Linked DNA regions of Coturnix japonica. The protein of the gene in region 2 purifies or fractionates together with the protein of the main gene of each other region. This does not show direct contact. Links are inferred from orthologs where the notes say so. Each region holds a gene or a part of one and is shown on either strand. Other genes may lie near its edges.

The links. Proteins that work in one complex are often made in the same cells at the same time.
Region 1: the proteins of CD9 (region 2) and ITGA6 purify together in Homo sapiens (co-immunoprecipitation; 3 studies listed by BioGRID and IntAct, with this or other methods). This does not show direct contact. The link is inferred for Coturnix japonica from reciprocal best matches to the Homo sapiens genes CD9 and ITGA6.

Annotation. Positions count from the first base shown.
Region 1 is NC_029522.1:15,836,978-15,841,791, reverse strand, and holds part of ITGA6 (integrin alpha-6), read left to right. Parts: intron 1-849; coding exon 850-1,105; intron 1,106-2,294; coding exon 2,295-2,426; intron 2,427-4,701; coding exon 4,702-4,814. UniProt on the Homo sapiens protein: Integrin alpha-6/beta-1 (ITGA6:ITGB1) is a receptor for laminin on platelets. Integrin alpha-6/beta-1 (ITGA6:ITGB1) is present in oocytes and is involved in sperm-egg fusion.
Region 2 is NC_029516.1:67,955,398-67,960,211, reverse strand, and holds part of CD9 (CD9 antigen), read right to left. Parts: intron 3,798-4,814; coding exon 3,705-3,797; intron 3,155-3,704; coding exon 3,065-3,154; intron 1,261-3,064; coding exon 1,177-1,260; intron 493-1,176; coding exon 427-492; 3' UTR 1-426. UniProt on the Homo sapiens protein: Integral membrane protein associated with integrins, which regulates different processes, such as sperm-egg fusion, platelet activation and aggregation, and cell adhesion.

The DNA of each region.
Region 1 (4,814 bases), on a different chromosome or scaffold from region 2:
TGGCTATGTATCTGCTGAATGTTTTAGCCTTAGGAGGAGCCATGGAAGGGGAATTTTTTGGTCAGAGGAGAAACCTGTATTGCTTGAGCTTGTCCTGCACTTCCTTCATCTGAATCTGCAAAAAACACTGCTGTCAGAGGGGTTTGACTGTTCCACCTCTTTTTTTAGTGGTTTAGTGGTTACACAGCTTATCCTGGTGGCTCATCATCATTTGTATTTGATTGGAATTCTCTGCCAAGGTGAAAAGAACAGCTTATACTCTGTGCTGCTGCTTTTCTCCATCCCAGTGATGGTTATCCTCAAAATGAAATGCCCAGCATAACAAGCAGGAACAACAACTCTTTCCTCCCTTTCCCTCACTGGAAAAGCTTTCAGTCTCCTGCCTGTGCCTCTTTTCTGAAAGAGGTGACGTTGGAAAAGGTGGATGGTAGTTGAAGCAGCTCCTTGTGTCTTACACAAGCATGTAGATTATTTTATTTAACAGTTACAGCTGGAGGGGAAACACAACTAGTTTTTTTTTTTTTTTTTTTTTTTTAAACAATATATAGGGTTGTTGTCTGCTCTGCTTTTGAAAGAGAGGTTAGGTATCTATGAAAGCTTTAGGGCTAAAGCCCCTGAGTTCCAAAGTGAAGAGGGATTTAACCACTCTGCCTTCCCTGATCAGGAAGTTGATTGCTCTGACTTGGGTCTGTAGATACTTATAGGGAACTCTGGGCTCTCTCTGCACTGCAGCATAAATCCACAAGGAGAATTTTTGTAGCATGAAGTACTGCTTATGGAGACCAGCCTTCTTTGATAACTTCCATACAAGCACACAAAAATAATTACTTGCTGTCTTCTATCTTGCAGACATGTGCACATCGCTATGAGAAAAGGCAGTATGTAAACACAGTGCAGGAAACCCGGGATATCATTGGAAGGTGCTATGTGCTGAGCCAGGATCTCACTATTAAGGATGATATGGATAATGGAGTATGGAGTTTTTGTGATGGTCGCTTAAGAGGCCATGAGAAGTTTGGTTCCTGTCAGCAAGGTGTTGCTGCGACTTTTACTAGAGACTATCATTACGTTGTGTTTGGTGCCCCAGGCACTTACAATTGGAAAGGTATGACCTGACTTCCTTCCTGCTACATCTAGACTGACCCCTTTCCTGTTTCCTCTTAGATTTTTTGCAAATGTTTCATCCTAAGGTTCTTATTTGCCTTTTTGGGGGCTGGGAGGGGGCAATAAGCCTTAGAGGGTTCTTACAATTTTACCTGGTTTTCACTCCTCTATCAAAAATATTCACTGAAGGTCCTTTAAATATTTCTAAAGGATTACTTATGAATGGATAATGGAACTTGGCTTGTATGTACAGCAACTTTTTCCCTTATTAGTCTTATGGTAAGATTGAGTTCTTGCTTTGACATTTTGCAATTCAACAAGTTACTAAATTAATTACAAGTTATTTGCCCAATCTTTTCCTCCGAATTTGAGCACGTTAGATAGCTGCACTCAGGTTTTTTTTATCCTTCAGTATTCTCTTTATTCTTTTTCAATTCTGTAGAAAAGAGTGCTTCCCAAATTCGATACTGGAGGACTGCAGGAAAATAACTGTACAGAGCAAAGCTACCTATATTCCTATCTAAATCTGTAGATATTTACTCAAGTAAAATTCCATGAATAGTTAGACTAAGAGACAGGGACTCTGTATCATGTATAGGAAATAATCGAAAACTAAGGGGGAAGAACTTAAGATTTTTCTTTGTACGAAGCATCTAAGAGGCCAGCCCTGTCTTTTTTCTTATTCATTTTTCCCCTAGCGCTTAGTTATACCAACAGCTGTAAGTGCTTCCCTTCTTTAGAACACTGCTCCTTAAATCATTAAAGTTTCTCCCCTTGTACAACTGTGCCTGCTACAAGAACCACACCAAGTCTTTGAGTTTAGCTCTGGCACAAGATGTACCCGTGTGAAGGTTTAATCTTCCACATAGCTGTTCCTGTCAACACAGTCTGACCAGGTACTCCGTTTAGGGCTTTACCTTAATGCAGAGAAGTGCTCTGATAGTCTACCAGCCATAAGTTTTCCAGATCATTGCATGACATCTCCATGTACTAGAGAAGTTCTGTCACACAGGCTGATCTTAGAAATTTATGGCCTGTTAAAAGGCCGATGTGGTAGTCTATGTTTGTCCCATTTAAACAGCACTCACTCTCTCATTCATGGTCATTAGTACTAGCTGGGAACCATTTATCAATTATTTTTCTCCCTTACCATTCTCATTTGCTTTTATTTTATCATTTCACTTCTTCAGGGGTGGTTCGTGCAGAGCAAAAGAATCAGACATTTTATGATCTGGGTATCTTTGATGATGGGCCTTACGAAGTTGGTGATGAGAGCCTCCGAGATATGAATCTAGTTCCTGTTCCAGCTAACAGTTATTTAGGTAGGACAAAGTACATGTGGTAAAATCTCTTTAGGCTTCTTAAACATTTGTAATCTGGTCTGATGCAATAATATGGAATGGGAGAAGAAAGCTGTTCATGTGAGGACCCACATTTACGTGTAAGATGGTACTCTGCTGAGGTACCTAGAAGTGCTGCTAAAGGAATAAGATATTTAAGAATGATAATGAAGACCTACACGACCTCAGGGAGTGATTATAATCACTGTCTAATGGTGAGTACTGTGTTCAGGACTGTAATCCTTGGTCACAAGGTCACTGCTATGTGGTATCAAAAAGTCTACTAACATTTAAGTCCCCAAATTTAATTTTCTGGCCTGAGTGCTTTTTTTATTTTTTATTTTTTTAATTGAAGGTTTAAAAACCACAGTAGCCTTTTTACAGGCTTTTGAAATAATGTAACATGAGTAACATTAATGTTCTAAGTGTGTGTGTGTGTGTGTGTGCCTTGCAGAGGAGAGTCTCAAGCTTTGTGCAAACACAAAAGCAGAAATATGTCTATAGGATAATGAATATTCCTGTACACTCACAAGATAAATCGGTAAAGAGATCGGGTTACTCTTCATTTTTTAGAATGCCTTTAGTGCAATGTATAAAGAACGTTTCTGCTCTACTATACTATATATCGCTATACTAATCTGGTGCTTTTGGCTTAAGTAGCAGATACAATTTGGGTAACTCAAAGCTGGAATTTTTGTGTTAATGAGAAGTTGAACAAATAGGAAAGATGTTAACATGAACGTAAGCTGAGTAAAGAGCCAACTTGGAGCTGCGTATCTATTAGAAGAAATAAACTTGAGCTAAATGTGAGTAGTGGTTATGGGGTGTAAAAAAATTCTAAGAGATTATTTCAGAAAGGCAAACTGATGGTCTTTTCATGTGGCAGAGTAGTGCTGTAGTGGTGTCTTTTGCTGTAAACAGTTTACTGTGTGTCTGTCTTACTAAACTGAACTTGTGCACTTTCATAATAAATGCAGTGTTGCATTTATCTAAATATAAATGCTGCCTTTGATTTGTCATAATCAAAACTACTTGAGGGCAAGGCTGGCATTCCCTGTCATAGCTGTTCCCTATATGTAGACAGTAAATATATGTGGTTATAGCTGCTATGCTCAACTGTTTTGTCTTTTCAATCTTTCACTCATATGTTTACAGGTCTTCTGTTTTTGACAGCAGTGTCTGACACTCATCCAGATCAGTTTGTATACAAAACGTTGCCTCCCAGCATACAGGTGGACAAATCAGTGGATGTAATGATGAATAGCTACTTAGGTTTGTGACCACCTGAGGTGGCAGCATCTGGTCACACAGTCTTCAGACCTTTAACATGATATTCTCCTTTCCATCCTCATTATAAATACATCGCAAGTGAAAGCATGTGACAGCAGGGATTCAGATGAAGAGTAACCTGTAAAATAAGCTGGCTTCAGAGAAGCGCTGATTTGTGATACATTTCTCCAAACCCTCTCATCTCTCACACAAAGTGGACTCCTCTGCCTGATTTTTTTGAAACTGTCTCATTGTGAATTGCTGTAATTGAGAATTTCAGTAGTAGTGGTGAACTGTTTCAGAAGGGAGATTACTATATGCTGGCTGCAGTGTTCTTCCTTGCAGCGTGCATCATCTTTCTTTGAACTTCATTGGCTATGTTGTTATATGCATTATATTGTTTTTGTTCATTTTTAATGTACTTTTAAATCTACCAACTTTTATAAAAGTACTTGGGACAAAATTCATTTAGACGTGTCCTTTAGAGCTACATTAAATTAAAATTGCCAATTTCACCACTACTGGATAAAGTTATTCTCAAATACTGTATTACATCATTTGATGTAGAACGTTAAGCATGTACAGTACATCTTGCATGTTTGCAACAGAGCTTATTGACTTGTACATAGAAGTTTTGTAATGATTTTGCTGAAGGTGAGGTACTCAAGCTATATTCAAGTGGTAATGCTTAGTCTTTTCTAAGCTGATATGTTTTTAAAAAAATGACCTTGTATTTACTGTCTGCAGAATGGAGGGCTGGGTGAGCAGTGCAATAGTGTATTTTGTGGGGGAGATAACTTAAATGGAACATGTTGAAAGAGTGTAAACTTACAAACATGCATCCACCAGTTCAAAGAGAAACATAGAATTGCCAGTATATCATACTCTGTTTCAGAAAACTTCAATATGCCACTTTAATATAGTAGGGTAATTTACTTTTCCTGTTAGCCATCCAAGCACTAAGTTCTTGTTTCTTTCTCTGTTGAAGGTTTCTCTTTGGACTCTGGTAAGGGAATAGTCTCCCAAGATGAGATGACTTTTGTGTCTGGTGCACCAAGAGCCAACCATAGCGGAGCAGTTGTTTTACTGAAAAAAGAGAAA
Region 2 (4,814 bases):
ATCACTGAATGGTTTGGGTTGGAAGAGACATTTAAAGAACATTTACTTCCAACTCTCTGCTGTGGGCAGGGACATCTCCCACTAGAACAGGTTACTCAGAGCCCCATCCAACTGGGCCCTGCCCCATCAATGATTTTCCCAAAAAAATAAAATACATCTTACTTTTTATTAAATAAGAAATGGTCTTAAGGATAAATATACACGACTTAGATAAGCTTCAAGAAAAACAGACATTTTGTGTACAATAGTCACCTTAAGTCAGATAGAACTTTATCATTTTAACCTATAACATAAAATGCAAACCATACTTCACTATCAAATAAAGCATTAAGAAGGCAACAAAGAATTTATTTCTTTTGGAAATGCTTTGAGAACACTGGAGTTAATGACCGATTTTATTGTGCAGATACCTTGGATTTACAGCTCTTAGACCATTTCTCTGTTTCTGCGGATAGCACAGCAAAGAACCATACTGAATATCATGCCAAAAATCTGTAAAGAAAACAAATTATTTTATAATTATATATTATAATTATTCGTTAGAAATCAGAATGGGGAAAAAACATTCTTATCAAAGTGCAGAAAAGCATAGATACTTCCTGGTTCAAAATGCATGTTAACAATTTATTCTGTAGTTTATGACCCCAGGCCTCCTTTCCCTCTGATCCTCAAATTTCAGTTAATTCTCACCAACCCCCCATAGCCTACATACTTCAAAACAGATCAACTACAAATTCAAGTCAATCTCTTAAATATCAGATCTTCTCAACGTATTTAATTTCATTTGCATCATATTTGCCTCCCAAGAAAGGAAAGAAGTGCAATTTTTTTTATTAGCACTGTTATTTCAGACTTCTAGTCAATTTGAGAGGAAGTAAACAGTTTATGTTGCCAAGCCCATGTTTTCAACCTGCACACTCCACACTCACTCAATACAACTTAGCCAGTGCTAACACTACAAGGAGGCAGATCCTAATCCAAAGTAGAAGCATAGAGTCCCTGGGGTACCCCACACACCAAGTTGTTTCAAGGACCCACAGCATACAACTTTACCTTACAGGTACTTATGATCAGCAGAACAGGCTCACAGACTATAGTTAATGTCTGGCACTGTTCAATAGACTTGTACTCTAAGCACCCTTGGCTAGGCAGCAACCATCTAATCTGCAAACTCACCATTATCACAGCAACACCAAGGCCAACTGCGCCAATGACATTCAGTTTTGAATTAAAGATATCATCAATGGCTGTAGGGCATGGCTGAAAGGAAACCATATTTGTTAGTTTTTCATGCATATTGAATCACTGATTTGTTTGCTTACTATAGAGAAAAAGAGCAAGCTCACAAAAGCTGCTTAGAGCTGGCCTTTTCTTTCTTTCTTTCTTTCAACATTTTTCTGGAGATCTATGGATGTTCCAATATAAATATATAAATATAAATTAAATATCATTAAATATAAATCATTAAATATAAAAGTTTAAATCTGAGTTTGTAACCCTCTTAAATGCACCTTGTAAAAAGCAGCACTCCCTTGTCAACAGTGTCAGTTAGATCAGGTGCAACTGTTGCTGCACCAGAGTTTGCTTATTAATAATGGCTGTCAGCACTTAAGCTGCAGTACTGCTCAGCCCTTCTCAAAACAAATCTGAGGACAGAGTTCATACTTCCAACTACTTTTATATCTTTACAGACATCCCATAAGTACATGGTGCATATGAATGAGGGGATCTGCATTGCTTGCATAAGTAGTAGGCTGCGTGCAGATTTATACCAGTGTCAGTTTAAAACTGCCAGGACAACAAACTACCATTGCAACTAAAAAGGATTCTAAGTAGCCTTATTCCCTTAAAGGTGCACAGTGGCCAAGACAAAGAACAACAAACTTACACAGAGGTATAAATCTCGGATATTAGCAGCTGGTCTCTTCCCCCCCACCCACCCTATGCTATCCCAGTAACAGACCACAGTGAGATGCTACATACCACTTACTTTATAGTTTCATATCTAAATGGATTTGAGGATTATGGGAATATAACAGAAAGAATGAATCAGTTAAAGATTAGTACAGTACTGATTTTTCTGGTTTAAGTCATGCTATCAGTCAGCCACACCATTATATTCATTTAGAGTCCATCTACTATTTTTTTTTTCTACAGTTGGGACTAAGCCCTCAACACATTACAAGATGAAGTCAATAGTCCAAACTGAAACAGAATAATAGCAGATATAACCTACATTCTTCCTCAGTTACACTCACATATTGTAGCAAACACACTGTATGAACAAGACTAAAGACTGAATCTGAATACAGACTGAAATTTCTCTAGCAGGTGTTTGAAAGCACAAAATTATCTGTAGAGAGAGGTGGAGAACAAGTGATGCATAAACAAGTCAAGATATGAAACAAAATTTCTGCATCATAACAAACTCAGTTTCTGTGGGAGAACTAGTACAGGCTCTCCTGGAACATAAAGGTCACAAAGCGGTCATAAAAACTTCAGGAAGAGAGTAGAAAAAAACCCTATAAAAGTGCCTCTCCTGTCTGTGGTATACAGGCATCACTGCAGCATTATTTCAACACTGGAATCTGATCCATATTATTTGTTTATGATGTAACCACCCAAGCAAGACACCAATGTGCTACCTACACTCTCCTCTCCAAAAATGGAAAACTTCTCACTAAAATTCCAGACATGCTCCCTTCTCACATTCTCCTCCCTAAGAGAGGCAATAGCTTCAGTGCATATCAGGAAGGCACTTTATGACAGCAGCACTCCAGACAACAAAATCTAGAATGTTTTATGCAAACTTTTTGCATTAATTTGTTCATCATGCCCCTGAATATAATGACATAGGCTACAACACCATGCAGATATAGAGTACTGCCTTCCTGATGAGCTTGCTTGTTTTTGTAGAGGGAGACTGTAGGTTTTCTACAAGTGGATTGTGGGCTGCCTATTAAAAATGACAGGCATTTTCCACGCACTGCAAGGTTTTATTCAGAGGTCTGCTTCTCGTTCTACTAATTTGGTAGATTTATTGGAGAGTTAAGTCATGAGTTACCATTGTTGTAAATGACTCAGCCAAAGTCTTCTTTGGACAGGTGTCCATCAACAGCTGTTCAACACCTCCAGTAATACCACAGCAGTTCAGCTACAGCAGAAGACAGGAAAAGAAAACCAAGTTACATTTGTTTCCTCTCTGTACTTGATTAAAGGAAGAATTAGATTGCATTAGCTATTATTACAGACCTTATGCAGTTTGCTTAGAAGTCTTGCAAATCTGATTAATTTAAAAGACTTTTTAAAACAAGGTCTACAGCAAAAGACAAGATTCCAAAAGTAAGAGCTTAATCTCATTAAATATACATATGCACACACCCCAGTTTTGGGGGCAACTTGGTACTCCTTACAGCTGAAAGATGAACTTCTTAAACAAATGTAACTACACATACTGTGGTACCTTCAGATCAGTGCTAGAGCTCTAGAGTTTCTCAGCTTGCTTTTAAATTTATTTAGGAAATGAATTGGTCTTACTTCAAGGGGAAAAATGTATACTGGCATACAAGAAGAGCTGCATTTTGTTACTGCTCCTTTGGTTTCTTCTAGTTATCAAGGTACTAGATTTGTACAGGATTATGGATGTGTTAGAGAACAGTGTTAAACAGTATTGCTACCTAGTTTTATATTAACTACATACTTACAGCAAAATGGAATGCTTTCAAGGTTTCTCTAGCAGCTGGTTGAGATCTCTTTTCATAGGTTTCTCTGTAGAAATCCTGTAACTCCTCAACAACCTACAAGATAAATAGTTGTATTCTGTTAATGTTTTACTTGATTAATAACTTGTTTTGGATAAAGCAGTCATTAAAACTTCTACAGTCTACAACACATGGTATTTTGACGTACAGAAATAGAGAGTGGAAACAGGGTAGACAGCATTACTCACCTAGAACAAGTAAGCCTAAATGGTGTACACACATTAAAAGCTTGACCCAAACAGATAAGCTTCACAGCTTCCCTTCAGAACTATGAGCTCCTAGGAGGATTGAGAAAACTAAGTTTTCTCCATTAGTTACACAGAATTATTTCCTACTCATTGCTGTACTCCAGAAGTCACTACATTCCTCAGTTGCATAATATAAGCAACAAAACAATCCTGAACCAAGTACTCAATTTGGAAACAAAAAAAAAAATAAATAAATTGAGAGTTATAAAGCAAAACTGGATCCTATTCTACAAAGTATATCCAAAATTTTCAATTATTTCTGCTGTTTCTAAATGTTTGCCAAAAAGTCTAGAGCCAAACCTACATTAGAGTTTGCCTAGCATAGGAGGCCAATAGTCCCACATCTACCAACATTTCTACTCTTGTGACCTGCAGCACCTTCACATTGGCTAGTTTTGCCCACATGACTCTGGTGATTAAGCACAAAACTCCTGAACTATTAGACAACAATAATCCGTGCTATTTGCAGCCTGGTATGGAAGGCCTCACCACAGGACCTGCACCAAAAGTGCAGCCAGCTCAGTGCCTTGTTGTTATGTAAACTCACATACACAGGCAATATTCAGAGTATGTGAACATCCACAGTGGTGATATCTGAGAATATCAACTTGAGGCAAGAACACAGAACAGTCATAGCTTAGATATGATATTTAGCCTTTAACAGCAAGCTCCTTCCTAAAAATGGTAAGACCTTACTGAAGGCTTGCTTCATTTCACAGTACAGACACTCAGAGGGACCTTGGGTTCTGGCCTCTCTGCTACAGTCTTTTTAATTCTTAGTATTTAGTTTCTCATATATGGCTGC